4 linked regions of the Coturnix japonica genome follow. The protein of the gene in region 4 purifies or fractionates together with the protein of the main gene of each other region. This does not show direct contact. Links are inferred from orthologs where the notes say so. Each region holds a gene or a part of one and is shown on either strand. Other genes may lie near its edges. The genes, in order: SAP130, SUDS3, SAP30 and ARID4B.

Region 1 (7,572 bases), on a different chromosome or scaffold from region 4:
GTGGAGAAGACAGACCCAAGTGCAAGCACCTTAAAACAGTGCTCACTTCCCACATCTCTCACCACATCAAACAGTTCCACTTCACACAGCTGGACAAACCATTCTGACCCAGAACACAATCTTATCTGACCTAGAATGCAATCTTATCTGACTCACAACAGGCAATTACAGGCTGATTCCTGCAGCTACAATGAACGCAGCATCTTTGCGGCGTTCCCAGTGACGCACCTAAACTGAAAAGTTCAGCTAATTTGAATGTACAGCTCTAAGCAACTATGGTCACATCTTTCCAGACCTGCCCTAAGTCGTGCTGCACTTCTCACAGGGAACATTTAGTGGCCACATTGGACTTCCTGCAGTTCTCCAGAGCTCCAAACATGACACAACAGCAACATAATTTCTGCAGCCGTGCACAGAATGAAGTGCTAACTTGCAGCAATGAGCTTGTCTGCTAACAATTGAGAACGCTCTCAATTGAACGAGCTGGTTTTGTCACAGGATTTCCATCAAGTTCTTGTGCTGACCAGTCCCTCTAAAAACAGCTATCTTAAAAGCTAAGATACAGCACCAGTCCCTGGAAATGGCTCCTATTACCACGTCTGCTCAGGGTACAGAAGGTGAAACACTTGTCGCAGAACTGCCCATCCAACAAAATCATTTTGGAGACTGCGGAAGCACAACTGGCTCTTGGAAAGCCAAAGCTGACCCCCTTCCTCAAAGCACAGAGGTAGCCCTCAGCTCAGTGATCTTTCAAAAGGTTTCCTCTGTACTTTTTGCTAAGTCCTCCATGGCTGTCCTCAGCGTAGGTTTGCATCCCTCCTTGTACCGTGTTCTCTGCTTTGAGGTGTCACCAGTTACTGCCCTAATTAATACCTTTAATTGATGCTTCAAATCAATGTAATAAGCAAAATAGCTCCACTGTCCATATCCCAACTCATCATCCTGAAGCTCATGACTTACAGTCAAGACCTGAAACTTCAATTTCAACAGCAACTTCCAATGTCACTAACAAAGAACAGGCCTCAGTAACACATAATTCCCTATGCATATTTTCCCAGTCAGCAAATGGACTTTGCAACTTCCATGTCCTTCCAAGGCCACTGTACTGGTCAAGAGCAACATGCTACCAGCAGACACTATGAAAACCCGAATTAGGCATTTTCTTAGAGTTTGGAAATCACCATATCTGCCCTAAGCTACTCAGCAAGGTGAAGTGCTCCAAGTTTTTGTCTCAAGAGAATGACCTTAGTTTGGGATGACTGCACTGGCTCACGTTATATGTGATATTTTTTTCCTGTCTCTCCACAAACTACTGCAACAATTCAAACTGGTTATCACCTGATTTTTGTCAACACAACACCAAGAGGTTGCAATGCAACTTGCTTTCTGCTTTCAGCTCATACTTCTCTCTCAGACCATGCAGTCATATGAAAACATATCAAAAACGTGCTTCTCAGAACATGAGGGAATGAAGATGGATAACGAGCTTATTTGCTTTGGAGGAACTCCTTTTTGATCTGTGAAATCTGACACTTTAAAGAGAAATTCTGGATACTGAGTATGAAACTCACACCAAAATGGTCATTAGCTGTGTGTAGGAGGCCTCTAATGTAGCTCAGTGCTCCTTTTGCTCATGCTTTCCCCTCAACCAACAAGAAGTCAGACTCAGTGCCAAGTTACCAGAATGGAGCGTACAATCCTCTCAGCTGCTCCCAAATGCTGCAGGTGGCACACAAACAACTGAGCAAAGCATCAGCAGCTCATCCCACAGCTCCTCACCTGGGTACTGGCGGATGGTGGACACCGAGCTGGTGATGGGGGTGTAGGTGTGAGCAGTCAGCGGGTAGGCAGAGGGCGGGTAGGTCGGTAGGAAGTACTGGAACTGGACAGGCACCGACTGCCTGCAGGCAGCAAGAACAACAAGTGTTACACCACTACACCTGCCTACCTTCACCTCATGTCTTTGGGCCGCTGCCCAAGTTTTGTCATCACATCTGTCATATTTATTAACTCTTGCGATTAATTCAGAACTACCAAATCTCTCTCAGGACTTGTTCCCTGGGGTATCAGAACCCAGACAAGTAGTAAGGTACTCAAAAGCTACTCACACTCTCTTATTCATAGAAATGTTATCTCCTCACCTGTTGTCATTCCTGGTTTCCATTGCTACTGGGTTTGGAGATGCCCGGTGACTAGAGAGGGGTATGAGGTTACTCCTCTCTGCTGTATAATCCGACTGAATCCGGGGAGAAGTATGTGTGATTTGCTGAGGAACCACTTTAGCTGCATAAAGACAAACAAGTCATCAGTCAGAAAAAGCTGGGAGACGCTGCAGAGTCAAAATTAGTTCCCAAAAATCCCCAACAAAAATCAAGACAGAAACAAGCCACACTGAAAAAAAAACCTACACAAGACCAAATACCACACCTACTCTAGCCACAAAGCCCCAGCCCCACTGTAAAGAAACCCCCAACCTCCAATCATTTCCTATCCGCAGTGATGATACATTGCTTCAATAGGAAGCATCACAGAAAGGCCTGGGTTGAAAAGGACCATAACGATAACCTTGTTTCAACCCTCCTTGCTATGTATGCAGGGTCTCTATTGCTCTCTATAACTTCCTGAAGAAAGGTTGCGTGGGAAGGAACTTACAAAAACCAGCTAAGAAAGCCCTATTGCCAAGCAGTTACAACTCCTAGCACATACAGTGCAGGTTCTGAAATGCCAAAAAGCCTCTGTTTGTCTGAAAATTCAATTGAGTAAGTTAATGAGCCATTTTATTACTTATTTCTCTTAGAACATCAATTTCTTTCTGGCACTGAAATAAGCTGTGCCACAGCAGACCTTCTAGTTGATTTCTCCCTGCTTGGATTGATTTGTTTCCCCTCCTTGATGTTCCAATGCACACAAACACTGCTAGCATAAACAGTACAACCAAAGTACCCAGCACACATTGCTCTTGGAACTGAAATCACTCACCAACTGGGATGTTTGAGGTTGTGACAGCTGTAGCATGGGAAGAATGGGAGGGCATTGTCATGGTGACAATGGTGCTTGTAGGCGCTTGGGTGTGAGAAACAGAACCTAAGAAAAAGAACAGACAGGATATTTCTGCAGAGCTCTATCACATAGAAGTAAAACTAACTATATCCAATTAAAGAGTGAAAAAACCCAGCCCAGACAACCCCTGAACTCAGCAGCTTCTCTCCTGGATTCTAATTATGCACTTCCAAATGCAGTCTTTAGCAGAAAGGAAGGTTCCCTCAATTCCAATTAGATTCCAACTTCAGCATAAAGAAACAAGAAAACCTCAATCCACAACCCTCTCACAACAGCGTTATGAACACTCACCAGCTGTGGTTGCTGAAGCAATGGTATTCGTTGCTAAAATAGGTGCCACTGTTGCTGCCGCCACTGGAGTACCAGTACTGAAAATGGTTTTCTATTAGAAGAAGAAAAGCTTCAAGTTAAAATACTACCACGTTTTTGATATCTACTTAGCTCAGAATCGTGCTGCACGGAATGTAAAGAGCATCAATTTCTAATACTGTATTATTTTCCCAAATTTCATCTCATCCACCCAAACGTAAACTCAAACATTGCCCGAAAGCAGCAGGAGGGTTTCCCCTTCGCAGCCTACCTGGGCCATGGTGTGGAGCTGTGGCTTCTGTGCTCCTATGGCCGGGTGGGAGGGCAGCGTGATCCGCGTGGCCGCATCGCGTGGCTGTGCGGGCCGCTGGATGCTGATAGCTGCAGAAGGGGGGTGCTGCTGGATAGACAGGGTGGGCCGGCTGGAGAGAAAAACAATCATGAAGATAACTCTGTAGATACTACATCTTAAAGATAAAGTGATGCATCTAGCTTTGTTCTCTTTCTCTTTGAAAGCAGCACTGCTATCAAAAACATGGTGAAGCAACACAAGGAACTCAAGTGCACTGTCCTGTCCTCATCAGGTGTCTGCCCTAAGTGGCTCTGTAGAAAAGCTTTCCCTGTCAGGGATGCTTTACAACATTCTCGTGTCATTCTTCACTGTGTCCTCAGAAAAAAGATGGGCTGAACTACCCACAGGCTTCTGGAAAGGAAACTCAGCTTTCCAGGAAGCAGTGGTTCACAACTGATTTGTTGTGCCCATTCTTGTAACACAGTGCAACAGTTCATCTTTATAGTAACTTTTATTCACAGAATAAGCTTCCGTAGCATGCAGGCACTCCTATATTTGTGTTGTACCATCCCACATCCAGAGGATCATCAGCTCAACATGTCTAACACGTTTCCTCCTCCCACAGCCTCTGTAAAGTCAGAGCACTGCAGACTATAAAAAAAATTGCCTTAGTCATCTTTACCTGAGGGTTGACTCCGTCGCATGTGCTGCCGTTGTGGTTATAACAGGAGACTGAGCTCTCGTGGCTGAGACAGTTGCCACCACAGCTGGAGGGATAGTGCTTGAAGTCGTCACAGGAGGACGAGACTGTAAGAACAGAGGCAGACATTCAGCAAAGAAATTCCGCGGTTCAGAGAACAAGTAGGAATTATTTGCCTAGAATCCCTTTTTTTGTTAAAAAACCTTATCGTTAAGTGTCAGCATTCTGAGATGTTTTCAATCATTCTGATTTGATCTGCACGCTCCTATGCAAATCCGTTCTGCTTTTTAAAGGACACACAGAGGGCACTACCGACCAGGAAGGTGAACAGAAATTACTGCAGTGCTTTCGACGCATTCTTGGAGGAATAAAACCCAACAAAGACTCCTTCAGAACAGCCTGAAACCCCATATTAAGGCACATATAGGAAGTCAAAAAGATGATTCGACTGGATCTTGAAGTAAAAGCTATTTGACCCTTTATTTTAACCTCGAACGCTAACAGAGAGCAGATACCTGCAGTCTCTCTCTTACATGCATATAGAAGCTGAGATATATGGAAGCATACTAAAATAATTTTTTCTATTTTACATCAATACAGTTAAGAATAAATCCCCATCTGCATGACGTGCTGGGCCTTTCAGGCTGAAGCTCCACTATCACACTATGTCCTGCTCCCAGCTTGTAAGCACAGGACTAATGGGACCATTTCACAGGTTGCTATCAGAAATGGATACCCAACAAACTGAATTAGAAGAGAGCTGCTGACAGCTGCAGGCCAACAAACAAGCATTTACAGGTTATGGACTGCAAGGAGGTGCCAGGAGGAACTTGGAGCAGGTGGTTGTGCAGAGCTGCCCAGCTGCTACCTGCCTGGATCGGCTGATGAATGATGTGCTGAACTGCTGGCTGAGCCGTGGCTGCGTTCGGCAGCTGGGATGCTGGTCTCAGGACTGTAGTTACTTTTGAACTGGACATCACTGCAGCAGCTGCAGCACCTGGGAAGCAAACCAAGCATGTTAAATAGTGCATACAAATGGCTCTGCTTCCTAGCTAAGGAAATCTGTAGAAATAATTCAGGCAGCTTGACTACTGAGCTAATGGGGAAATAAGCTACCTGATAGCAGAAACCTCCCTGCAATGAACAGAAATCGAGGAAAAAGCACCAACAACTTGTAAACCTGCAACAGCAGAGAGCTGTGTTTTCCTTGTATCCACAGTTTGCTGCCTCCTGATCAGGTAAAACTGCTCTGAAAAGCAAATAGCCTTGAAAGCATTTGATGGACTACACTGCATAAACATTCCTGACTGAAATTACTCTGGAAGGTGGTACGCAAGCTGAGAGAAAGAGATCGGGAGGAGAGAAAATACACTAGGTGAACACCCCAGGTTTATGGGGTGCAGGAATCAGGTGACCAAAACCACACTGACTTCAGCTGCAAACAATACTGCAGTCTTTCCAGCTACTCCAATACAAGGTTGGATCTTTGCACACATCATTTTTGTTCCCCTTGAGCAGTGGCATAATATTGGATCTCAATGGAAATAAAAACATAAACGGTGCTTTGAAATTCAGATCAGCTGAAACTTGGAGACCCAACTCATAAATGTTTAGAAAGCAGAGCTAATCAGAAATCACTGCGCTGAGCTTCTTTTAAAGGGCTGCTCTGCTGTTATTTAAGCTGCAGCAGCTGAAGTCCAGGGAGACAGGAGCCTGGACGTAGCAACAGCATTTAACCCAAGGGCAAATGCAAATGATACATTAGCACGTATAACCACATACTGAAATGATCCTCTATCAGGTAGGTCAGCCATCACTGTGCTTAAGTGAGAGATGCTTAGTACCAAGAACATTGCATTCTGCACAACAGGCCAATCTATGCCAGCATGGTTTTGTTTTTCAGGTTTGTTTTTCTTTGAAAGCATTCACTGGTGGCAGCACAAAAGTAGAACAGCTGAGGTTGCAATACAACACAGATCAGCAGTGAAGAGAGATTCAGAGGGTGGGTGCACTGCCCAGGAGGTGAGCGTGACAGGCAGCCACACACACTGCTCAGCCCTTACCTCGAGGAAGGTGGGAAGCTCCGATATGTAGAGGAGGCCCAGGAGCACTGCTTCTGATGATTGACATCTGCACATTAGTAGCCATAATATGGTGCAGGTTGCTAGGATGGCCCTGCAGAATTAAAGACATTAAGAAATAAAGAGCGAGCTCTGTGGATAAGCAGCCATTCTGATGGCATTGCCTCAAGACTTTTAAAGACGGGAAAAAAATAGTAGAAATACATTGTACAAAGGGTTCTACAGGGGAGTAAAGAAACAGGGAGAAGTCAGAGCCAGCTGACACCGTACAGGAAAGATGTCAAAATTTCAGAGCCCTGTTTCCCTGTTTGGCACACAGCGGACTGTCAGCAGCCACTCAGACACCAACCTGGGACATGTCCCTTCTGTTATCAGTGACCTTAAAGGCACACATCTCTACCACACTGCCATTCAGGTCAGAAGAACAGTGGCACTCGGCCACTCAAACTCAAATCCTCCTCAGGACACTACATTGAAGCCCTGAGAGTTCAGAGGGTTTGCGATGAGTGCCCTGGCACGCTGGCTTCAAATTCAATTATTCAAAGAACAGCTTTGGATATGTTTCTCCTATTGCAGTCTGTCATTTGGATGATTACACCAACAGTGTGTAACTGCTAGACAGCAAAGCCTGCTCTCTGCCTCCCCCCTGCTCCAAGAGCTTAACCTGCTGTGCCAGCACTGCACTGCCCCAACCTTACAGTGAGCACAGCAGGAAGCACAGACCTGCTGTCCGCTGATGGTGGCCACAGGGATGGTTGGAGCCTGCGGGATGCTGCTCTCCATGGTGACCGTGACCTGTCCAGGAACCTTGGTAGGAGCTGAGAGGGTGGAGGGTGGTGCAGGAGCAATGGGCCGGCTGGGCATCGTGGGCTTCAGCGGCGGCTGCAAGAAAGAAGCGTCAGGAATGTGGCCAACTCCCATCAGCACCTCAGGGTTGGAGAAACCATTCATAGAGGTTGAGGAGAAAGTCAGTTTTGCCCAAAAGTAAGTAGGGACAGAGGTTTCAAAACTGTGTATAATGGCCATTCCATTTTCACCTAGGACAAAGAGCATGTTTTGTGCTGGAATTCTTCTAACACACAGCATGAGTGACACACAGGACCTGGTGGGGCTGTAGCCTTCCTTTACAT
Region 2 (7,572 bases), on a different chromosome or scaffold from region 4:
AAGGTGTTTATTCACAGCCTTTTGCAGATCTTTTGTTAAGATTGATACTTTTGTCCGTATGTGGGAGGTGTAGCTGTAGTTCAGGCTGTGCAGCTGTACTTTGTCTGCCATAACTCCAGCCTGGAGAAGCTGAACCCTTAGAGAGGAAAGGAAATTCACCCTTGGCTACACAAGCAAGGAGAGCTGCATAGGAGTAGCTAAAAGCTAGCAGTGCAATACTGCTTTATTTTATAGCTTTTATTATCTGTGTGTAAGATTGGGTCTATCTGTATATTAGTACTTGTCTTTGCTTTATGAGAACGATAAAGTATTTCAGTGTGTAGCTGAGAGGTCAGCTTCAGATTATAGCAAGAAATTTGTTATATTAAGTGCAACCTCTGTGGTAAACCATGACAGCATCTACCATAGTGCTCTCTATTTGCTGTGTTTCAGGTCAAGATACAAAGGCATTCTTAATCAGAGCTCCTTCAGTCATTGTTTCCTGGGTGAAGCTCTAAAGCTCTAAGCAGCAGCTTGGGAAATGTCAGGGTCTTAAGATTGTATTACCACCTCACTTTAGAGTTATGAGACTAATGGGAAGAGATTAGTGGAGTGTCTTGGGTCAGTGCTGCTTAAACGTGGTAGAAGCTATGTTGTAAATCTGCTGGTGGCCTTACATGGGATAATTGGTGTCAAGGAAGAGATGTTTCGAGTTGGTTCTGAACTCATTTCTCCAGTTGCCAGTCTGGCTGCGTATTTGCCCAAGTGTGGGGTTTTTTAGTGCTTTCCTATGTTCTTTTAATCCTGCTTAGTTTTAACAAGTCATTCTTTACCTCATTTAGATACCGAGGATGCTAGCGAGACTGATCTGGCAAAGCACGAGGAGGAAGACTTTGTAGAAATGAAAGAACAGTAAGTAGCCCATTCTAATGAAAAGTGAGGTAGTGTTTTTGCTGCCCTTTTAGGGGGGCTGGGGGAGGATGTCTTGTTTTTGTATAAAGCTCTGCAGTGCTTTGGACCAAGATTTGGGTTAAAAGAAATGTAGCTCAATGTAATAGCACGCATAATCATATTTCTTCTCAGTTCACGAAGCAAAGCAATGTTCTGAACAAAGAAACACACAGCAGCTCAGTTTTGCTGCGGATGAATCCCTCTGCAGGCAGATCCTTTAAAGAAAAGAAAGAATCTGCTTGATACAAGCCAAGCAAAAAGCAAGATGTCTGTGAAAATTACTTAAGCAGCTGAATGCCAGTCTTGTCCAGGGAGAGTTAACTTTTTGGAGACTTGAGGTAGCTTATTTTTACCTTAAGATGTATTTGCAGCTTTTCATGTTCGTTTACTGGCAACAGTGTGGTTTTTCACACAGGTCAGGAAGAGTTGGTGTATGTTAAACCACAGATACGTGAGAAAGGAAATGCAAGTCTAAGACAGCAATAGGAATAGACTTTGGTTTTAGTTTTGGGTTTGCCTTTTTCTTATGGTGTGTGTGCTGGGGAGTTTTATATGTGTACGTAAAATGTAGACACACATATATTTCGTGTATATGTGTATATGCAGAATGTTAAGGGCTATGTGAGGAAATGCCTTCTGTTTTATCAGTAGGAAAGTGAGACAAATATTGAGACATGATAAAGTGGCAGGATGACACTATTGCACTGACACTATTGCAAGGTTTTTGGTGTCTGTAGGTCTAAGTATCACTGTAGTTTTCCGTGTTTAAGGTAAATGACGTAAGTCATGTTTTTGCTGAACTCTTAAGGAAATGATTGACAGGAATGCATCGTAAAACTGATGAGCTGGCAGTTTCTTTTAGACAGGAGGATGTCTCATTTGTAGGATGTATGGTGACAATAATGAAAAGATGGTAGTAAATACCTAAAAGGTTATTTACAGGAAAAACTCACCTACATGGAAGCCTTTGGTCTGCTGGGAACTGCTGAGGTAATCTCCACCAAGGAGCGATCTCCAAGAGATGCTGCCTTAGTGGTGGTCAGCCCTTAAATGAGGTCTAGAGGAGGTGGAGTCAAGCTCCAACCCTTCCAGGAGTACAGCTAAATTACTCTCACCTGTGCTCCCACAGCTGACCCAACACTTGCCTCAGCTGGTTAATCAGAGGTTCAGGCTGTGATTACCAATTTCACATAGTAAAAGGGTATTTATCCTGTTTGTTTCCTGAAGTTCTTCTGAAAAGTTTCTAATTCAGTGTAAGCACGCTGTAACCGAAGCAGGTGGTGATACAAATAATTTGCTTGTTTCTCAATGTAAAGGTCTCTGTCTTTGCAGGATGTATCAGGACAAACTGGCATCTCTTAAAAGACAGTTGCAGCAGCTGCAGGAAGGTAAGTTTTGAAGGAGTGTTTGTGTTTTACGGCACTCTGAGGAAACTGAATATGAAGGAAAATATAATTGCCATTGAAACTGACTATTTGTTTTTAGGTACTCTTCAGGAATATCAGAAAAGAATGAAAAAGTTGGACCAGCAGTACAAAGAAAGGATACGAAATGCTGGTAAGCTGTGTTTCTTTCAAAGGTGCTGCGTATGCCTTTGCGTTACAGTTTTTGTTACACCTGAAGAAACATGAAGGTAACTCAGCACTGAAGTGTTGGAGCAAAGGGATTCTGTGCTCTGAGGGTGGGGTGTGGTTGTTATTGAGTTTATGAAACGTAATGGAATCTACCTTGAAAACACCCACCCCTCCATCAGTGTTGTTTGCAGTGTTTACTAAACAATGTTTAGCTATTGCAAAATGGCACAAATGAAAGTGTTTCATTTATATCTGCCGTTATGCCTACAGTCTTCCACATTGGCTTGTTCTTTTGTGCATCTTGTCTGACCCCTTAGGACTGCCTGCTTTCTCGGAAATCTCTTATGTGCTTGAGAACGATGAATATAGAGGATTTGCTCCTGCAAATGTGTCTGCTTACAGCCGTGACACTGAATGGGCTGCCCACATCTTTTGGCTGTGTTTCCAAAGTGAGGGCCCAAGTTCATTTTAAAGTGCCTTTCTGAGAGCCTTTATTGTGTTAACGCAGAGATACAGCTTGGAAATCAGATCTGTCTGCTTGCTTTCCTTCCTGTTCTCTTTCCAGTAGTTTTGAATCTTAGATACTGAAGCAACAACCTCTTATAGAAAAGTCAGATACATCCCATTATACTGTGAAATAAGTCAGAGCAGTTGTATGATGTCAAATACACAGCAGCCTTTCAGTAATGCGAGCTGTCTTCTGAAAGACTTTGTGATAGTAAAAGATTTGCTTGATGAGTTTATGTAAGTTGAGCTGCTTTGAGCTGCTTCTTGCAAGCAGAAATTCATCTTCTGAGATGAAATTACTGTACATTAGAGTGGCAGTCTAGTGATAATGGGATGTTGCTGTAAAATTAACTGTTAAGTTGTATCCCTGGCTGGCCAGGAGAGTGTTGCAGCAGCACCTTTCTTCCAGAGGAGGGCAGATTGTGCTTAGTTATGAATTAGGATAAAAACCTGACTGCCTACTGTTACAGGAATGGGCTTTTGCATTGATTCCTCCCATGTTGAGTGCAGTTTTTTGTTCTGCTTTCCTGTTGTGTTTTTTATTTATTTTTTTTGAGAATCCAAGTATTAATGCAGCAGCTTAGATTTGTCTGCATGTGATTATGTCTGTAATGGAAATACACATAGAATCATAGAATGGCTTAGGTTAGAAGGGACCTTAAGGATTATCAAGCTCAAACCCCCCTGCCACAGGTGGGACCACCAACTTCCATGTTTAATATTAGACCAGGCAACCTTCCTTGCTGAGGATATAGAGGCCTTTTCAAACAAAAGGTTTAATTTCAATCTTGGCTATCTATCTTACCTTTTACAGCGATTTAGAAAGTGATAACAGGCAAGAAAGCTGCTAATTTCTCAGGCATAAGCAGCCTGAAATCAGGCACTTGGTGTTAAATAGATGAATCAAACTGCTGCAATATTATTTCTGAAGGAATCATTGCTGGGATTCATAGTATTGGTCTACCCTGTCCATTTTGGCCAACCATGTGTTTCCAGCTATGTGTTTCAAGCTTCTATCTGGGAAATTTGTATCTAGAATTGATATATGACTGGAAGAAGGGTGGATTATATACTTGATATTGATGGAAGCAGTAGTTGAGCTGAAAAGACTGGTTTACTCCTGTGTAAGGTTTGCAAATGTGATTGAATAGCTGTAGAAAACGTGAATTAAGTTACTAAGTTGGGTCTGTCTTGTCTTTCAGAACTGTTCCTCCAGCTGGAAGTGAGTACTCTTAATTTATCACAATACATATTAAGTAAGTGGGAGGGGTTAAACCTGCAGCTTCATCAACCAGCTCTTTTTCTCACTTTTTGTTTCCCCCTTTGGTATCATTACAGTTAAGTACAGAATACTGTTGTGTTGCCTACAGTAACTTCCAGGCTGTCATTAAAAAGAAAATTAAGTATACACGTTTTCTTGACTTGCTGTATGCTACTTGTGTGTTTGGTTGTTTAAAAAGCTTGTTTGAGCTTAGATGGGGTGGTACATGATAAATGTGAAGAGCTTTCTGTTAGAGACTTGATAGGGTATGCACCGTTAAAGTGTGTTTGAAAGGAATTAATTCTTTTGCTGATAACAGTTCTGCTTCCTTAGTCATCTCAGGTGGTTTTGTGTTGTATTATTTAGATGCTGATAATCTGCAGAAGTGGCCATAGCTTTGAACAGAAGAGCTAATGAAAGCAGAGCAGTTGAGAGGAGGTGTTGCCAAGTCATTGACTTGAGATATTGGTTCTTTAGCTAACTCTTTTATCTTTTGATTTGCATTAGACAGATCAGGTGGAAAAGAATTATGTCAAGGAAAAGAAGGCAGCAGCAAAGGAGTTTGAAGATAAGAAAATTGAGCTTAAGGAAAATTTGATTGCAGAGTTGGAAGAGAAGAAGAAGATGATTGAGAATGAAAAGTTAACCATGGAATTAACAGGAGGTAAAAAAGAGATCTGTCATTTTTTCTTCCCCGTTTCACCCCTGCTTAGAAAAAAAGAGTTTAAAAAAGCCATGCTGGTTTATACAAACTGCTTGACCTTAAAACATCCCAAACATCAACTGATGTGGATCACAAATTGGTGGTCTTTTAGTTCATAGAATGTAGTTCATGATAAAATTCAGCTACCTGCATTATTAACATGTAAATCAAAGCAGTGTTGACAAAGGAACAGAGTGCAGAAGCTTTCTTGTTCATTTTTTCTCCTCTCTAAAAAGCAGATACTGAGTTCCTGTGATTTCTAGACTTGATAAAATGGTGCTGGCTCGTTCCTGAAAGTTAATCTCATGTGTTTGGATTTGTAGCTTCTTTTTAAAATGGATTTTTGAGATACTGTTGTAGAACAATATTTCTTAAGTTAGATTGAACAAAATTCATTAGTTGACTCACTGCATGTACCATGGCTTTCCCTGTGGTTAGAATCCCCTTGGAGACATTCAAGATCAAGCTGGGCTCTGAGCACCTGATTGAGCTGTAGATGTCCCTATTCATTGCAGGGGAGTTGGACTAGGTGATCTTTAAAGGTCCCTTCCAACTCAAAAGGTTCTACCATTCTATGATAATTTCCCTGAATTGGGATGGCAGTTGGAACCAATGCATTTTAATCATTTTTGTTACAGAATTCTGGAGAATGCCTACCGTATGTTGGTATTTTTTCACTAGGCTGATATATTTTCATGGTGTCCTACTCTATATACAGGCAAAAAGGGCTTCTTTAAGTTCCTGCAGAAGTAAAACTATTGAGAAGTGCCACAATATTGACCTGACCAGTGGTACCAGTTTTTAAATAGTGCAGATGGTTAAGAAGCTAAAGGAAGGTAAACAACAAGGGTTAAAATGTTCTACTTAAAGCTGGTAGCACAGATTGATTTCAGTTAGCTGCATTTGTGTCCAGACTCTGGAAAATGAGCATTAAATGGACGTGTTTCTCTTATGAAGCCCTTGGGTGCCTTGTCAGCAGAGGAGTGATAGGGCTGATAGGACTCCTTCACAGGTTGTGTTGCTCTGGTTCAGAACCAAAGGTCTGATCTGATTTCTTTACAAGAAGCAACTCCCACGTGTTACGAACAGCTGATGTGTTGCTGAGGTCTGTCCATGAATTAGACCTTTACATCTTTCTTAGCATCTGCAAGCGTTATGTAAGCTAATAATTTAATTGGTGCTCAGAAATGAGAAATAGAACCTGTTCGTACAGGCTTAAGTGCTGCTGGTGATGTACAAACCCGTTAGGGCTTGTCTGGTCTGGAAAACATCTTGTGCTGGTTGTTTATTTGCTTTTAGATTGTTTTTATGGGTCTTTCTGATCTTACCAACTCTGTGCCTTTGCCTTAACTTTGTTATTGTTAGTCTGGGCTTCCTCGCTGCTAAGCCAGCATACAGTGCTAATCCTGCAATTAGATCTTCATTGGGGAATCAAGGTCTGAGTAGATCTTGCCTTTGTAAATCTGCACGCCGCTGTTCTAAGGGTCTGAAGGAATCCAGTGTCTCCATCAGCAGGCAGCACAGCTGTTAATGTCAGGGTTGGGATTTGCAGAGTGAAAGGGAGACTGAGGAGGTGTAAAAAGAGCTATTCAGGGGTAATGTGTCTGATTTGGGGACCAAATTAATTCTCCACTGGGAAATATCTCCCCCCACTCTTGTGTGTCCTGAAGAGATGAGCTGTTTCATCAGGCACAGCTCTGGTAAAAGGTGTGTAAGTAACTGTGGAGAAGCATTTCATTCTATGTGTGTGTGCTAGGCCTCTCTTATCTCCCTCCTTCCAGACCAGCAGAAATGCAATTTGATTCCTTTAGAAGTAGCAGAATTCATCATGAATGCATACTGCAGGCTGAGAAAGAAGCACAATGGAACGTGTGTGCACTCAGTGATTTCTAAAACCTACAGAGGAGCTCAATGTGTGCAAGAATGCAGGTTGGCAACCTGATGAGTAGCAGGCTGGTTTGTGAGCATTGGGACTTCCTTGCAGTTTCAGTAGGTTGTAGCCGCTGCCTCCTGGAGCACCACCTTGTGTGGTTCTCACCTGTTAAGGCTCATGTAAGCTTGTGTTTCATTGTGAAATCTGTTGGTCTAAGAGCTTTAGCAGCTCTTAGAAAATGGCTTCAAGTTATCACAAATCTCAAGAATCACAAAGATGGGTGTCAGTCTCCATCTCGAATGTGCTAACTGTGCTGCTTAGTGTTCCAACCTGAAGATGTGAGAAAGAATGGTTGATCTGTAGCTGATGCCTTATGTGCTGCTACCTATTCAAGTTTTATTAGCAGATAACTCCATCTAAGAGGTCTGTTTAGACACAGATATGTGGTGTTAGCATGAGAGAAATGTTTGAGCCATCATAGCACTGCTGTGCTGCAGTTACCTGTACCTGAGGGAGATGCTGAGTGCCCCCAAGCAGCTGTGCCACTTGCAGACAATGAAAGCTGTAACCATGGCATCACAACACTGTTGTTCAGCAGTGGCCTAGTATAAAGGAGAGCTCATATTCACTGTCAGCAGTTCCAGCTTGGATGCTAGAAGCTGTCGTGAGGAAGATCCTGTTTTCTGAGTGATAGAGATAACATTGTTTTCCTTGTGCCCTCTGT
Region 3 (8,036 bases), on a different chromosome or scaffold from region 4:
ATGCACTGTAAATGACATTAAATTCTGCAGCTACAGCTCACGAGGACCTTTAGGTCAGTCAAACAAGGCACATGACAGAAGCTTTGCCTGTTTACATGAAGCAGCACGTGAAGCATAAGCTACTGCAAGCATCTCATGAGACGTACCTAAAGCAGACCCCTAGAAATGCCAGTTTTACAGCACAAAAATGTTCGTGCTTTTTCAAATCAATCCTGCTAATTCAAGAACAGGATGGATCCGTGCATCAACTCTCACATTAAAAAAGAAGAATTACTTTAAATTCTTAATCATAGAGGCAGCAGCACTGTACTCGTACAGCTTAGCTCTGGAGAGCTCTCACGCATTTAATAACCTTGGCTTTAATCTGTGCTAATTAGTAGAGAGACAAACAAAATGTCTGCACTGAAGTACAACTGAACGTTACAGCACAGAAATGAGGTGGCAGCTATCCCTCCCTGCTGAAATGATCACCGGTGCTGTCACAGATACATGTCTTTGCAATGCAAAAGAATCACTTTACAATTGCTCTCTTGTACAGAAGAGATGCATACAGCTGTACTCACAAACAGCTTAAGTGCTTTTAGAAATATCGATAACAACAAAAAGAATTTAATAAACTTCTTTCTGTAATAACAGACCCCCTGTTTTTAACTGAGATTAATGATCAATAGAAGTCTATTTTCCGTGTTTCTGAACTTCCTATACGTGAAAAGATGCCTATATTAATCAGCTTTGTAAAGCCAAGCCTGAATCTTAAAAGAACTTCACAGTCTTACAGTCTCGTGCGGGTTGGAAGGGACCTTAGAAATCATCGAGTCCAACCCCCGGGATTCGAGCCTCCTGTGTAGCAGAGCAGCACTTCTACCACTTACGCCACAGGGGGGATTCGAACCCAGGCCTCTGGTGTTGCAAGCGGCACTTCTACCACTGCTACCTCTCAATTTCAAATTATCATCAGTAGGATACTTAAGTTGGAAGGTGTGGCTGATGCACAGGTCACCTTACTGTTCAGCTCACTATTTTCAAGCAACACATGCTCCTTCTGAAAGTTATGGGTCCGTTCTCTAGAAAGAAGCTCTTCCTTCTGATTTCCTTGGCTCAGGAGCTATGGCAGTGAAGGAAGCCAGATAAGCAGCTCCTTTCTGCTCTCATAAAACCCAGATTATATATGCACTTCATGCAAGGATCACATTGTGCAGAGAAAAAAAAAACCCAACACAACGCATGCCATGGCAAATTGCATTTTCTATTATGGAGTAAACACTCATACGTACTTCAACAAGCTGTGCTTTGTTAAGTCCCGGTCTGGTCTGTAGCTTGAAGTGTCTTTTGTACCTTCGAAGTGTGTTCACTTGTAACTGATATAAATCAACCTAAAAGAAAAGGAGAAAGGGGGAAGAAAGCAACCTAATGTAATTGATAAGGTCTCCCTCGTCATCCTGGAAACTTGCACATACACAACCACACACTGTCAGCTCAGTAGAGCTCGTTTTGACAGAGAACAAAACTTTACTCCACACCTTCCAGGAGAAAGAAAAACATTCCATTGCAGTTTCAGAGCAGTTTATTGTTACTAAGTACGGCTCTTCCTCCTGTTAGCAGCAGACAATATTTAGAACTTACAGTACTATAATCGTCTCTGTTTTTTTCTTTCATTGTTGTCCTTCCCCCCCCCCCCCATTTTCAGCATGATGACACAAAGCACAGTAACAAAACTCATAACATCATAACATCTATGAAGATGCTGATTCAAAAGGTAGGCTCTGCATTTCAATTTCAGCCATGAAGTCTTTTGCAGTCTACAGCAGCATAGCTGCACCATGAGACAGCATGAGTTAGAACCAAGACAAAGTCTAGAACATGAAGGTTTTTGGCTTGAGGTGGGAGAGGAAAAAAAAAAGAGCTGGTCTTGGTGTCCAAGAATATCCCTGCTACAATAAGCACAACAGAGGAGTTATGTACATAGGCATAGTTGCCCAAAACTATTTTTCAGTGTGAGCTGACAGTTCACAGCATTGCACAAGCTCCTCTCCGGGATATAAATACACTGCCTCAACCCAGTACTCTCTCAGTTTTTAATCCCATGAACTCAGATCAACAGCCGCTTCTCCCAGCAACAGCTTACCCTCTCACCTTCTTGACAGCGTAAAACAAAGTTTAATCAGAAGACTGAGGAGGAAAGGAAGCTAAGAAAGCAGGTTGAACAAGAAATTCCATTAGGTCAGTTGCAATTACGGCACTGTTCTCCAAACTTCCTGCATTAAAGACTGGTTAAAGCATTAACTTCTATTTTAAAGTCATCCAGCAGCCTCAGCTATGCAATATTTAAGGCAACAACAGTGCCAGTGCACTCCTGGTGACCCGGTCAGACTTGATACAACCCTGCCTTACGTGTTAAGAGGATGGCATGCCCTCGTACTCAAGACAGCAGCACTGTGGAAGTCACTGCAAATCACTCCTAACATCTACTTCTGGAAATGGGAATGCCCTACAGGTGGTCAGCAGTAAACTGGATGGCAGTTCAAAAATCAAGGGGCCAGTGGGCATCTATAGCACACCAACACCACACAGGAACTGCATGCTGAAACTCTCCAGAACTACCTACTTCCCTGCACCACTACCACTGAAAATACATTTCCTTTCTTCTGTTCTAGGGATATCCATCAGTTGTGTCATGCTTTATTATTCCTGTCTGAGCAAATAAACAGGCAAAAGCTGCAGTTGCCACTGTGCCAGACAGCTACCAAAAGCCACAAAGAACAGCAGGTTTAGAGAGCTTTCAGAGATGCCATCCAATGTTTTTAGCTGACAAAAACCACAGCCCAGCATCAAACTACTTCCAATCTCCTAAAATCCTCTTATAGTCAAAGCCTTCAGGCTTGAGCCGTGTGCCTCCAGGCAGAGATTCCTGCATGAAGTTTCATCACTGACATTGCTGACGCTGACCTTAAGGATAAGTTCACAATCCTCAAGCACCTTCTGACAAACACTGGATAAATCTCTTGGTTGAGGCCGGGTAGGCTGTGCTCAACGATTAACACACAAACTGTAACAGAAATAATCCAGCACACATGTAGGAAGAAGAAAGCTTTAAGTGCATTCACATTATACTATGAAAAAAGTTTGAAAGTAGTTCACTTCCAAAACGGGTGGTGTTTCACTGGCCTACAATAAGGAAGGCAAGCAGAAATGCCTTCTTATTTCAGCTCCTCCTCAGCAAAACTGCCTCAGCATCTCTATCCCCAAGAAGGACTAAAACCAGTGAGCTCCCTCACTGAGAAACTTCCAGCTACACTAAGTGGTAACTACAGGCACCATCTGCAACGTGCTTCACATGGAAGGAAAGGATTGGAGGGATGTGACAGAGAAGCAGTTATAGCCCAAGTCCGGTGTGTCCTGTCAACCTTTACAAAGACTGATTTTCATAGCAAAACAACTTCTAGCAGGCTCCTGGAGCCAAAACTGTAAGGAAAGTTCAAAACAGCAGCTGCCTGAGATTCTGCACATCTAATAGAGAAAATACACCCTGGAATCCAGTTTGCTTTTGTCATATTAAAAGCCAAGCACATCAGGAGCCATCCCCAAAAGCAGGCACGGCTGAAGCAGGAACAGACTTAACGTAACTATTAGAAAAACCGTTGGCTACCTCTGGAGTGTCGATGTCTTGCACTGGTGAGTCACCATCGTCATCACTGCCTTTTCTCTTCCTTCTATTTCTCACACTCTGAATTAAGTTTTTGTGGAAGTCGCAGATATAAAGGTGTCTCGCCTACAAGAGTAAGACCGCATCTTTCAATCAAACCCGTGCAAGCTCCTCCCAGCCTGGCAGCACAGAGGCATCTACAGAGACATTCCTTAGGCAGCCTCGCTCACGCGGAGCGAGGTGGGGAAGCCCCTCTGCCTGATAGCGCTGCACGGAGGCATTGTTATGTTACCTCCACCGACTCGGCGGGAGGACGGGGGGAAGCGGCTACCGGTTGACTGGCAGAGAACGTCGCGCAGCGGGGACAAGCGCGCACACAACCCTCCCTCCAACCGCTCGCAGCAACTCGGGGATCGGCAAACAAACACGCACGAACGGAAGGCGGGCAGCCTCCGGAACATCCCGCGGGAGGCAAAATGCCACCTCCTCCCCATCCGCACGGCTTTACCTCCGCAAGGTCAAGCGACACGCGGGCCGCTCCCCTCATTCCCCAGCTCTCCTGCACAGGGCCGCACCGTGCGGCCGCGCCGAGCCCTCCCCACACGGAGCCCCGCGCCCACGGCCGCCGGGTGGGGCACCGACAGCGCCGGGCTCCAGGCGGGACGGGGCGGCGGCAGCGCTGCGGGAAAGGAGGGACTGGGAAACGGCGCTTCCCCGCCGCCGGCAAAGACAAAAAAAAAAAACAACCCGCAAACAAAAGAAAACACGCCAAAAAAGAACTTTAAAAGCCGCCCCCGAGCCGCTGCCCGCTGCCGTAAGACTTACGCTCTTGTCCAGCTCGATCTTCACCTTCTTCTGCGAGATGCTCTTCTGGATCCTCTTGCTGAAGCTGGCGTTGCCGGCGGCGCGGCCGCAGCGCTCTCCCTCCTCCCGCAGGCAGCACAGCTGCCCGGCCCCGGGGCCGCCCGCCCCGGCCGCGCCCGCGGCTCCCACGGCCAGCCCCGGGGGCGCCGACCCCGCCGGCACCTCCGCTCCGGAGCCCGCACCGCTCACCGCGCCCGCGGCGGCGACGGCGGGGTCGGCCCCGCGTTGGGGCAGCTCCTCGGGGGCGAAACCGTTCATGCCCCGCGTCGGGCCGGCGGGAAGCCCCGCGAGCGCCGCCACCGCTTCCCCCCGGCGAGGGGACTCGGGCCCGGAGGGTTCTACGGCCGCGCTCAGCCCGGACCGCGAGGGAACACGCGCGGCGCGACGGGCGCCCTCGCTCCGAGCCCCGCGGCTACCGGCGCGCTGGCGGCGCCCCACGGGCCGCCCCGCTTCCTCCTTCCCCCTCTGTCATGTGGAGACTCTTCAGCTGTTTCCTATGCAACAACAGCAACCTGCCCGCCGCCCCGCCCCTCAGCACTGCGCCTGCTCAAGGCCGAGCCGCGTTGCGCTCCGGGAAACGCAGTTCGTCCCGCCGCTCTGCGCTGCGGGCGGCGAGGCCGGGAAACTACGGCTCCCGAGCTGCGCGGCGGACGGGGCGCTCCGCTCCGCACACACCGCAGCTTGTTGCAGCTCGGTGCCGCGGCTCCGCCCGCCCCCCGCCGGCATGTGGCGGTGTCGGCCCGGGCCGGCTGGTAGGACGCCGCCTTCGCTCCTCCCCGTCGGCGCGGCCGTTGGGATTTGAAATGCGGCCGTGCCGCTACCGGGGGCGGGAAGTGGATTCTGAGGCTCCGCGTTGTGTCCGGATCAAACGCTGCCTGTATTGAGATATTTCGAGCTCTAAGAAAGCTACACGAGAGCCGCGTTAACGCACAGCCTGTAATAGCTCAGCCGCTGTGGGGCCGCCTCTGACCTATTTTCGTCCGAGTGCGTTCAGAGCGCAAAAAGGCGGCTTTGCGCTCCTTTTTGAGCCCTTAAATTCGCTAACGGGCCCGAGCGCCGTGAGGTAACCGCGGAAATATGCGGCCGTATCCATTACTGTGCGAGTGTGGAATCAGGAGAGTAACCGGGAGGTCAGCGAGCGATTTGAGGAGACGCAGATCCCGTGTAAGCCCAACAACTGCCTGAGCCAGGGAGTGCGATTATGCTGCAGTTTGGGTTTGTGCTGCAGATGGCTTTTTAATCCGGTTGCGTAACCTGGCATTAGAGAACGAGGGTAGGTCCCGCTTACGCTCCCAGCAGTTGCGACTGAAGGATCCAGCGAGTGGAGTTAGGCTGAGCGTACAGTGACAGACAGCAGTTATGCATGAGGGCACGTTTTGTGATTAAAGGGAGAAATTGGGTTAAGAGCTGGAAAAAATACCGAACCCTCCTTTGTTACAGCCCAGCTGGGTTCAGTTCCACACCCTGCCACTGTGTCAGCTCAGAAAAGGGACGTTTAACTCGCTGCTCAAGTTCCTTGTGATTCGACCCTTTCAAAGATTATAATGATGTTAATAATAACAAACAAAGCCACACAACAGTAGGAGACCTTACCTAAAGAAGATATAGGAAGAAGTGTGAGTTCCAGGAAGTTTCCAGCAGAAATCAGGGTCACAAGTAGCAATTTCTACCAGCTTACACTGTGTCTTTTGTGATCCGTTTCATTTCATCAGATGGTTTTGACCTTATGCTGAGCATAAAATACACAGTCTGTTATGTTTGCTGTGGTCTGTTAAAATGTAGAGACTACTATGTCTCAGATATGTTCCTGATCCTCTTTATACAGTTCGTGAGCAGATAAAAGCCTGATTTCAGCCGTGCTCGCCAATATGTTAATTCCTAAGCTGAATTTCAATAGAGCAGTATCATAGTTTCATGGTTAGATCATGATAAGGCTGCAGCAGGGCTGAGAAACACAGTTCTGCTTCTTCTGTAAGCTGCTGACTTTCACACCTGTGCCCTGTCTTTCTTTGTGCCTGTAAAAGCATTTCTAAAGCTCTGTGGCAAACTGGATCTGGTTACAACTAGACCAGGGAAAAGAAAATCAGTTATGTTAAACCCACATCTGCTTTACTGCTCAGTTATATGATCATGTCCTAGCAGAGAGGGAGCTCTGATGGAGGGCAGGACTGTGTGAATGATTCAGGAACAGGGAAGGAACATCTCCTTTGGTAGGAATGCCTAAAAGCTACTTTGTCTTGAAAAGAATGCCCAGATTCACACCTTATGGGCCCTGAACTTCCTGGCACCAAGGAGGACCAGGTACAGGTGGAAGCTGAGCAGCTTACGTGCTTTGAGATGCTGTATGTCCCACTCCCACTCCTGTTCACTTTTGACTGGTTTGTATTTGAGAGGGAAGAATGATAACTGGACACATCACCTTGAATAGATTGCGAGCACACTGTAAATGTGTTGCAAGTAACAGAATCACAGAATGACCCGGGTTGGAAGGGACCTCAAGGATCATGTAGTTCCAACCCCCCTGCCTGGCAGGGCCACCAAACATACACCTTTACTAGATCAGGTTGCCCAGGGCCCCGTCCAACCTGGCCTTAAATACCTCCAAGAACGGTGAATCCACTGCTTCCATGGACAGCCTCTTCCAGTGCTTAAGCACTCTCCTAGTGAAGAACTTCCCCCTAACATCCAACCTAAATCTTCCCTCTTTTAACTTAAAACCATTTCCCTGTGTCCTGCTATTGTCAGCCCTTTTGAAGAGTTTACTCCCCTCATGGGTGTAGGTTCCCTTCAGGTACTGAAAGGCTGCAATGAGGTCACCCCGCAGCCTTGTCTTCTCCAGGCTGAACAAGCCCAACTCCCTCAGCGTGTCTTCACAGGGGAGGTGCTCCAGTCCCCTGATCATCTTCCTGTCCCTCCTCTGGACCCTTTCCAAAATCTCCATGTCTTTCTTGTCCTGACACAGTACTCCACACCTGGACACAGTACTCCAGATGGGGCCTCACAAGAGCTGAGTAAAGGAAATATGGTTCATGACTGCATACACACCTTGGCATGATAAGGTTCACTTGGGGCTTACTACTCCCTTCCCCATTAGGTATCATTCATCTGAAGTCTAAGAGAATTTTAGTGCGCTTGCTTATGTTCAGCACCTCAAATTATCCTGTTAGCAAATACAGCACTAAGGAAAATGACTGGTGCAATTTTTAACAGTAAATGAGCATTTTATTTGTTTCAGACTGTAACTGTTCCAATTAAAAACAGATTTCCTTAATTTGCTGTAGATATTGTACAACGTCCCGTGATGTTTTTCATGGAAGAGCAACCAAATCAACAGGAAATCACTGTCTGTGTGTCAGAAATGGAAACATTTGATACGTTGTACTGTAAGTACTTTAGAGGCTGAGATCTATTTCTAACCATAAACACAGAGAACAGAGAACAAATCTCTTCCTCCTCAGCAGAAACAAAGTTCAGTCCTTTTATCATGCCCTTCTTTCTCAAATGTTTGATCCTCTCCCACTCCATTACC
Region 4 (7,572 bases):
ACTGCAGGGCTGCAACATCGCTCCTCATACCGGTGAAGGATCACAGTGTATCCCCAACTCCTTCTTCCCCTCCGTTGTGAGGATGTAGCCTGTCCTCCTCGCTCATCAAAATAGCCTGCACTGAGTTTTGCTGGTGTATGAGCTAGCGGGTAGATGCTTATCTTGTCATGTCTCTCAAAGAGACTTTCATTTTGCATTGCCTTTGCAGTAGCTCTGACTGGAGTTTTTTTCATTGTGCTTCTGTTATTAAATATGTTTAAATGACAACAATTTCAGCACAGTGCAAATAGTTCCTAATTATTTTTTTTTTTTGTTTTGCTGATTTCCTTTATTACATTCTCCAAGTGAGTTTAATGGAGAAGAGGAAGTATACAACAAAAAAACTCTACTGCAGCCTTGCTTAACCTTATTTTCAGCCATCCACTAGTTTCCACAATTTTTGTTTCTTTTCCTGTCATATTTAATAATTTTATTTTATTGAATTCTGAACTGCCTTCGGTCTGACTTTAAAAGCGATGTGTTTTGTGAAGCTTTAATGTTTAGCAAAAGGAGGCTGTTGAAGGATGAAAAAATTAACATGGAATGGAGATGCACACACACTAAAATGTTAGAATTTATTAGTTAAATTTAGAAGCTTTTAGGTAGTAGTGAAAAAGGAATGTAGAAAATTAACTTCTGTTCAGCGTACTGGTGTGAAGTAGCTTAGTCATCCGTTTCTGAGAATTTTCATTATAAGCTTAATATTTTAATACAAATGGTTGTGGCAAGTGACATTTTCTGATGAAATTAAACCCCAGTGCTTTGTTTGGAAACCCCACTGTTTATTCATTTAAGTAAATCTAATACAAAGATTTATTAGTGCAATGAACTGAATATCCAAAATATCCATTGTTATTTCAGTTCTGGGATTGGTCCTGCTCACTACGCACGCATTCAGCTGGTACCTCATGGCAGTAGCATGCGGTGTCATTGGCTGTGGTTTGTCAGTGCTGTGGATTAGAACTTCTGAGAAAGTGCAAGCGTGATTTTATGTTCTACTTCATTCCTGAAAGTTGCACAGTACATCCAAGCATTAAGAAATTGCTTAACTGCAGAAGAAATAGAGATCTGATATCCCTTGAGCATTAACACTGGTATCTCCCAGACTTTGTGTGAAGGAACAAAATTAAGAATGTGTCTTGATTGATGGCATTTATGATATCTGTGACAGAGATTCATCAAAAATCCAATTTCGGATGTGTCATTACAGTTATTGCCTTACGTAAGTTGAAAATGTGTGCTATATAAAACTCCACGTGACATAGCATTGAGGCCAATTTTGTTTGTATAGTTTCTTGTTCCTGACTGCAGTAAAAACAAACTTAAACTTTTGAACCTAAGTGATTTTCTTATTGACAACCTGTAACTCACAAGGGTAAAATGTTTGTGTGCTTTTTTTTTTTTTTTTTTCCTTGAACAGGAGGAACTAGAGCCTTTTCCTGAAGAAAGGGAGAACTTTCTTCAGCAATTATACAAGTTCATGGAAGACAGAGGTACACATTTCCGTGTTTGACTTGTTAGATTTAGAGGTATTGCTTAGCAGTGCTTCAAAGACCTGAGTCTGTGAACTAGTAATACTGTACGGTTTATTTTTGGAAACAGTGAGACTGTATCCCACATGTCTGGCTTCCCATCCTCTCAGAAGATGAGTCTGTCTGTTAACTCTGCCCCTCAGCAGGAATAGGCTGGTTCTTTTAGAGGCAGTTTTTTTTCAGTGGGTGAAATAGAAATGTTTATATAAGAAGCAAGAGAAGTTGCATCGTTTGTGCATACTTGTTAATATATCGAATAATGCAAATGTATGAATTTATTTGTATTAATGAACTACAGGCAAAATGGCTTATTAAACCTCATGAGTTTTAGTTTTCACAAAAAATAAATAGTAGATGCACCAGATGGTCAGAAAATTTACCGTACTATTTAATGGTGTAGTAGCATATGTGGAGTAGATTTCATGTTGCTCTCAAAAAGATATTTCAAAACACAGTAATAACTGTCTGTCTTTACAGGGACTCCTATTAACAAACGACCTGTACTAGGATATAGAAATTTGAATCTGTTCAAATTATTCAGACTTGTACATAAGCTTGGAGGATTTGATAATGTGAGTATTACTGATCTATAAAGTCTAAGGGTGGTGTTTTTCCTTAATAAAGAATAAAGTATTGTGTAGCAGCTCCAGATATTAAAACTGAATTCTACCAGAAACTAGTTATATTTTAAATAAATTGTCTACTGAGTGTGTTATTACTGCAGCATAAAATCAGTGTGTTTCTGTGAGATTTCAAGAAACGTCTGTCTAATAAAATCGTTACCCTGAAGTGAAAAGTGTTGCTGCTCAGTGAAATCCCAAAGGCAAGTAACTGTAAGTTCAAGTTGGTTGTGAGGCACTTAACTCCTACCTATTCTGGGCAATATATAGAGGAACATGCTGACAGGAATTCATCTTGGTGCAGTAGTTGATGCATAGGGAATTCTTAGTCAAGTAGATTCTGTTACTGCTTTGAGCTACTTCTCGTAAATCTAGCCTGTCAGCTGAGAAGGTTGGTTTGTGCTGTGCCGCCTTTCTACTATAGAAGGGAGGATCTTGTACTTAGTATCACAGTAGATCTCTTTTACCTTCACAGATGGTGAGAAATGAGCATGTCACACTGTCACAAAGCTTTGACACCAAAGGGTGCGTTAAAGATATACAGTAGCTACCAGTCTTAGATTATCTGGTGCAGTGCTGCAGGGATGTAGTATTATTAATACTTTGAGGTTTTTTCTTTTCAATTTAATTAAAATTCTAGATGTGATATTTCAGGAATTATTTTAACTGTGCTGATCTTTGTATTTTTTCCCCCTTTATTACCACCTAGAGAGAAAGGCCAGCTGTGGCTTACTGAAGTGCAGAAATGCTAAATTGCAACAAGTAGTTACACTAGACTACAGTTTGCATTACAAAGTAGAGTGTACAATAAATAGAGATTTTGTAGAGAGAATTAAATACTATTGTATGAAATTGTAGATGTTGTCAGCTTGGTCTTCTGTATGTCAGTTAATTCAGCAGCCATTGTTACATTTGCTTTAACAGATTGAAAGTGGAGCAGTGTGGAAACAAGTTTATCAAGATCTTGGAATCCCTGTATTGAATTCAGCTGCAGGATACAATGTTAAATGTGCATACAAAAAGTAAGTAATAAAGCCACACAGTTTATGCTAAAACAGCACTAAAAAGAAATAGAGTTCTTGTGATAGTGGTGGCAATATACATAAATTCTATAAGTTTGGTTGTAATGCAGTCTTTGTAAGCTTTAAAATATATTTCTTCTATTAAGCTTCTGCTAGGTAACACAATTTTTCTTCAAAAAAAACTTGTTTATCAGAAGTGTGGTTTTTTTTTTAGATATCTCTATGGCTTTGAAGAGTACTGTACATCAGCAAATATTGAATTTCAAATGGCATTACCAGAGAAAGTGACAAGCAAGCCTTGTAAAGACTGTGAAAAAGAAAAAGATTTAAAGATGCGTGAAGATCCAGAGCAGGATGTAAAAGAAATAAAAGCGGATAAGGAGGAGCGCAAGCAGGAGGAAGTAGTGGCAGTACAACAAGAAGAAAAAAAGCTAGCTGAGAATGATAATGAAAGTAAAGAAAATGATAAGCCCGTGCTTCTGGTAAAATATTTTAATGTTCATGTTATATCCTGTTGATAAAGGCAGATAATGTGTTGATAACTATGAGTTTGTATTAAGACAAATCTCTGTAATTGATTTAAAACTAGACAAATAACATGCTGTAGATTAGTTTTGAGCAATATTTGTCTCTTCAGTGTCTGTCTTAGAGGTTCATGGTGTCAAAGTCTTTGAATTGGCAGGAAGCAGATGAAGCTTTCCACCTGTTTGGGGCACTCTTGAGTCAAATGGGGACTGATTAGCATGCAGCTGTATTGTGATCTGGATAATGCATGCTTACAACTATCTTCACTGCTGATACTTCTATTTTGTATTGAGCTAGGCTTTTAAGCCCTCCCAGGTTCTAGAGAGATATGGTGTATGCAGTGGCATAATTATTTCACTAATCCAGAGAGACAAATCTTTTTACCTTTTCAAAACTCAATACTGGCCCAGTGGTTTTAGAAAAGGAGAACTGAGGTGGTAAGCTGAGCAGTGAAGGTACAGCAGTTTGCTCTGGAAGTGGTGTAGTTCTTCAAGTCAATATGCAACTTAGCTGTGATGTATGCAAGTGGCACCAGCCCTGGCCTGTCTGCTGCTACTAACTCCACAGTGACCGTTAATGCTGGTGTTTCTGCATACTGAGCGCAGACATATCCTGTGAACTGTTTTAAGAGTTGTGTGCTAATGTTGCTGTAGTAAAACCTAGGAGATTGGATTCAACCAAGGACTACTGTATGTGTGCTGAGAATTTCAAACATAAAACCAGTGGAAATGCTGTAGTTTTAGAAAGAGCCCTAGAATCTAGTGCTTTCTTTTTCCCTTCACAATAACTTGTGCATTTTGTTCTTCTGAAATCCTCTGAATTCTTATTTTTTCTTGTAAATTAACTGAAGGTTTTATTGTCTTAGGGGAACAAAAAAAATTTACCAGATTCAGTGTATACGCAGCCTGACCAAGAAAAGGACTTGAATGTAATCAAAACTGAAGATGAAATCAAATTAGAAGATAAAGAAGAGGAAAAGATTAAAGAAATGGAAAATCCTACCATAAATGCAGAGGCTGACGAAAAAGACAAATCAGGGTAAGTTACTCTGTTTGTAATCAGATAAGGCATCTGATGTGTGCTCATTAACTTTACTCTTGTCTGATTTGAAGTTCAAATTACCTCCCTGCTGTGATTAGGCTCCTGTTTTCTGGAGATCTGTGTGCTGCTCTTTCTCATGGTTAGTGCTGCTGAAGTTAGTGAGTCTAATTAAAAATATGTAACCATTTTTATAAAGCTTTATGTAAGGCTTTTAAAAGATCCAGGCCAAAATATTTGCAAGCTTAGCAAGCAGCAGAATGTATAAATCTCACTTAAGACAAAAATATTGCAAATATTATGAGTAGAATAGTATTGTCTATTTAACTTGGTTGCTAGATTTTGTTGTTGGACAGTAACATGGGAAGAGAGAAATACCTCACATAATTTAGTAACAACTTTATGTTTATTTAAAGTGGTTACTTTTTAAATTTAGTAACCACTGAGCGGAGATAACACTTGCAGGAGACCCTTGTGCAGCCCTTAGGACTGAAATTTTCAAAGTAGGAGATGAATTACTTGGATCTGTGCATCCTTAATGCTTCCATGGATGAAGTTGACTTTAGTTATAGACTTGACAACTTCTCACATTTCAGTGAAAAAGTAAAAAAAAAAGACAGCCAGATCTTGAAAAACAAAAGCAAAAAAACAACCATAAAAACAACAATGAAGTCTAAACCAGCATATTGTTCTCACTGAACCGCAGGGTGGTAGCAGTTCATATTCTTAGGATTAGAAGCCTTGTACATTATGATTTTAAGTAAGAAGATATAGGTAGCTGTTACAGGTTATGTGTCAAAGTTCTGTATTATCTGAGGATACTGTATGTGACTGAAAACGGTGCAGATGCTTAAAGGAGAAACTTTTCTTTTTAATAGGGAAAGCAGCTAACGGCACCTTACTCTTTCTAGACAGTCTGAGTCTCAGGGGATGTTTTATGTAGTTAATAGCAGCTGTTGCCTGACCACTAGTTTCCTTGTTCATTCTACTGTTCCTTTGCTATATTTAGCAGATAAACTCTCTTCCATCTTAATATCAGCAACTGTTATTGCTTGTTCTGTCCCATTAAAAGATATAACAGAATGCTATAGCTCATTGTGTTGATTTCCAAGTTCATTTGAAAAGATTTTTCAGTTTTCTTTTAAGCATTTTGATTTCTGAGAGAATCCCCCCCAGTAAAATGTCATCTTCCCTATTCTCAAGGAAATTCCACTGAAAGCTTGTATAACTCAGAAATCCAGAATAACAAGAAAAATCAAATTTGCCTGAACTCAGTAGAAGAGCCTTTTCCCTGTGTATGTGACTTGACTTATGTTCTAGGTGACTATCATTTTAAAAGACTGGTTGCTGGAACTTTACATCCTGTTTTGTAAGAGCAACCAGAGAAATGATATTGTACCAGGTTTTCTGAATTTTCATAAATATTGAAGGCTAATTTTATGATACTTTCAAAGTATGTAACTGAATGTAAGGAAATCTGCACTGCTGAGAGAAAAGCAGTATTTAAAAAGATCTCTAAGTACTGTGTGTGTTATTGTGGTGGTATTTAGTACTTGCTTATATTTGGAAATAAGGCCGGTTTAAAACTTATCACAATGCTATAGAAAGAAAGTGCAGCTATGTGCTGCATTTGGTCTTGTTTTGTTATCATTTCTGATTCATGTCCATTTGGGTTATTTATAACAATAAAAACACAGTGTTCTCTTAATTTTTCCTTCATAAAACCAAGATGATATTTCCCCTTAATTTTCCCCAATTCATCTTATGGTTAGGCTTTTCTCTCAGCTTCTCAGTCTTCATCCCATAAAGACTACCATCATGCTATTGCAATTCATGGTTTTATTGTATTTTTGTAGGAAGTTGCCTGGAATAGAATAGAAAACAGAACTCTAAAAATGGATAGGGGTGATGGTTCTGGGAGTATATTTTCCTGGAATAATTTCAACTTATTTAAATGAAAGGTTTGTAGCAGCTAGTAGTCTCTCAGCATTTGTAAGCATAATTAAGTACTGTAGTTAGTACTATTAGCTTAATTTCTTTTGCTGTTTTTCTAGAGACTGATAGGATTTTGTACTTCCTATAAGCTGTAACGAATTGAAAAATGATGCCGACATCCTAAATACTTTGAAAAAAATATAATGATATATCTTCATGGTATAAACACCATAAGGTTTTTGTGAGCCCCTCCCCTTATCGGAAGGGAAGAATGCTGTGGGTTGAGTTCTGTGTTGAACTAACATACAAGTGAAGAAAAGCTAACATACAGAGCTAGCATAGAAACGGTAAAATGCTTTTTTATAGATGGAAAGTTAATCACAGAATACCGCTGCAGACTGATTTTTTTTCTCTCCTCAGTGTACTCCTGAAATTGAATTTTAAAGTACTGACCATCTATCTTCCACAGTGTTAACCGAATAGCCAGTCAAATGGAATCTAATATTACATGAGGCAAATTCATAGTGCTGCTCTTTGAACTTATATCTTTAGGAATTATATCCTGTAGATACATCTTCATGTAGCATCTTTAAATAGAGATGCAAGAAGACAGAAAAACTTGAGGGTTGTATACAGAATGTGTTGGATGGATGGGAGCGAATTTGCATCTTTGTACTCTCAGGTTGTACTTCTGGAGACCAGAGCTGTTCTTTATTTCTAGAGGCTTTGTTTCTGCAATGCTGTGCATCTTCAACCCCTTTAGATAGCAGTCGCTCCCATGTTACCCCAGCCCTTCTGCACAGAGTTAGACAATACAATAAATAGGAAGAAAGCCCAAATGTGGTTCTCTGTCTTCCCAGA

The links.
Region 1: the proteins of ARID4B (region 4) and SAP130 fractionate together in Homo sapiens (co-fractionation; 4 studies listed by BioGRID, with this or other methods). This does not show direct contact. The link is inferred for Coturnix japonica from reciprocal best matches to the Homo sapiens genes ARID4B and SAP130.
Region 2: the proteins of ARID4B (region 4) and SUDS3 purify together in Homo sapiens (affinity purification with western blotting; 3 studies listed by BioGRID, with this or other methods). This does not show direct contact. The link is inferred for Coturnix japonica from reciprocal best matches to the Homo sapiens genes ARID4B and SUDS3.
Region 3: the proteins of ARID4B (region 4) and SAP30 purify together in Homo sapiens (affinity purification with mass spectrometry; 5 studies listed by BioGRID and IntAct, with this or other methods). This does not show direct contact. The link is inferred for Coturnix japonica from reciprocal best matches to the Homo sapiens genes ARID4B and SAP30.

What each region holds. Positions count from the first base shown.
Region 1 is NC_029524.1:1,631,881-1,639,452, reverse strand, and holds part of SAP130 (histone deacetylase complex subunit SAP130), read right to left. Parts: intron 7,325-7,572; coding exon 7,166-7,324; intron 6,537-7,165; coding exon 6,425-6,536; intron 5,359-6,424; coding exon 5,234-5,358; intron 4,469-5,233; coding exon 4,344-4,468; intron 3,792-4,343; coding exon 3,641-3,791; intron 3,443-3,640; coding exon 3,352-3,442; intron 3,085-3,351; coding exon 2,980-3,084; intron 2,284-2,979; coding exon 2,142-2,283; intron 1,902-2,141; coding exon 1,780-1,901; intron 1-1,779. UniProt on the Homo sapiens protein: Acts as a transcriptional repressor. May function in the assembly and/or enzymatic activity of the mSin3A corepressor complex or in mediating interactions between the complex and other regulatory complexes.
Region 2 is NC_029530.1:8,709,320-8,716,891, reverse strand, and holds part of SUDS3 (sin3 histone deacetylase corepressor complex component SDS3), read left to right. Parts: intron 1-821; coding exon 822-891; intron 892-2,262; coding exon 2,263-2,318; intron 2,319-2,415; coding exon 2,416-2,487; intron 2,488-4,213; coding exon 4,214-4,233; intron 4,234-4,779; coding exon 4,780-4,936; intron 4,937-7,572.
Region 3 is NC_029519.1:38,527,823-38,535,858, reverse strand, and holds the start of SAP30 (histone deacetylase complex subunit SAP30), read right to left. Parts: upstream 5,092-8,036; 5' UTR 4,766-5,091; coding exon 4,469-4,765; intron 3,770-4,468; coding exon 3,647-3,769; intron 1,374-3,646; coding exon 1,275-1,373; intron 1-1,274. UniProt on the Homo sapiens protein: Involved in the functional recruitment of the Sin3-histone deacetylase complex (HDAC) to a specific subset of N-CoR corepressor complexes. Capable of transcription repression by N-CoR.
Region 4 is NC_029518.1:34,297,828-34,305,399, forward strand, and holds part of ARID4B (AT-rich interactive domain-containing protein 4B), read left to right. Parts: intron 1-1,459; coding exon 1,460-1,532; intron 1,533-2,048; coding exon 2,049-2,143; intron 2,144-3,115; coding exon 3,116-3,213; intron 3,214-3,427; coding exon 3,428-3,695; intron 3,696-4,603; coding exon 4,604-4,776; intron 4,777-7,572. UniProt on the Homo sapiens protein: Acts as a transcriptional repressor. May function in the assembly and/or enzymatic activity of the Sin3A corepressor complex or in mediating interactions between the complex and other regulatory complexes.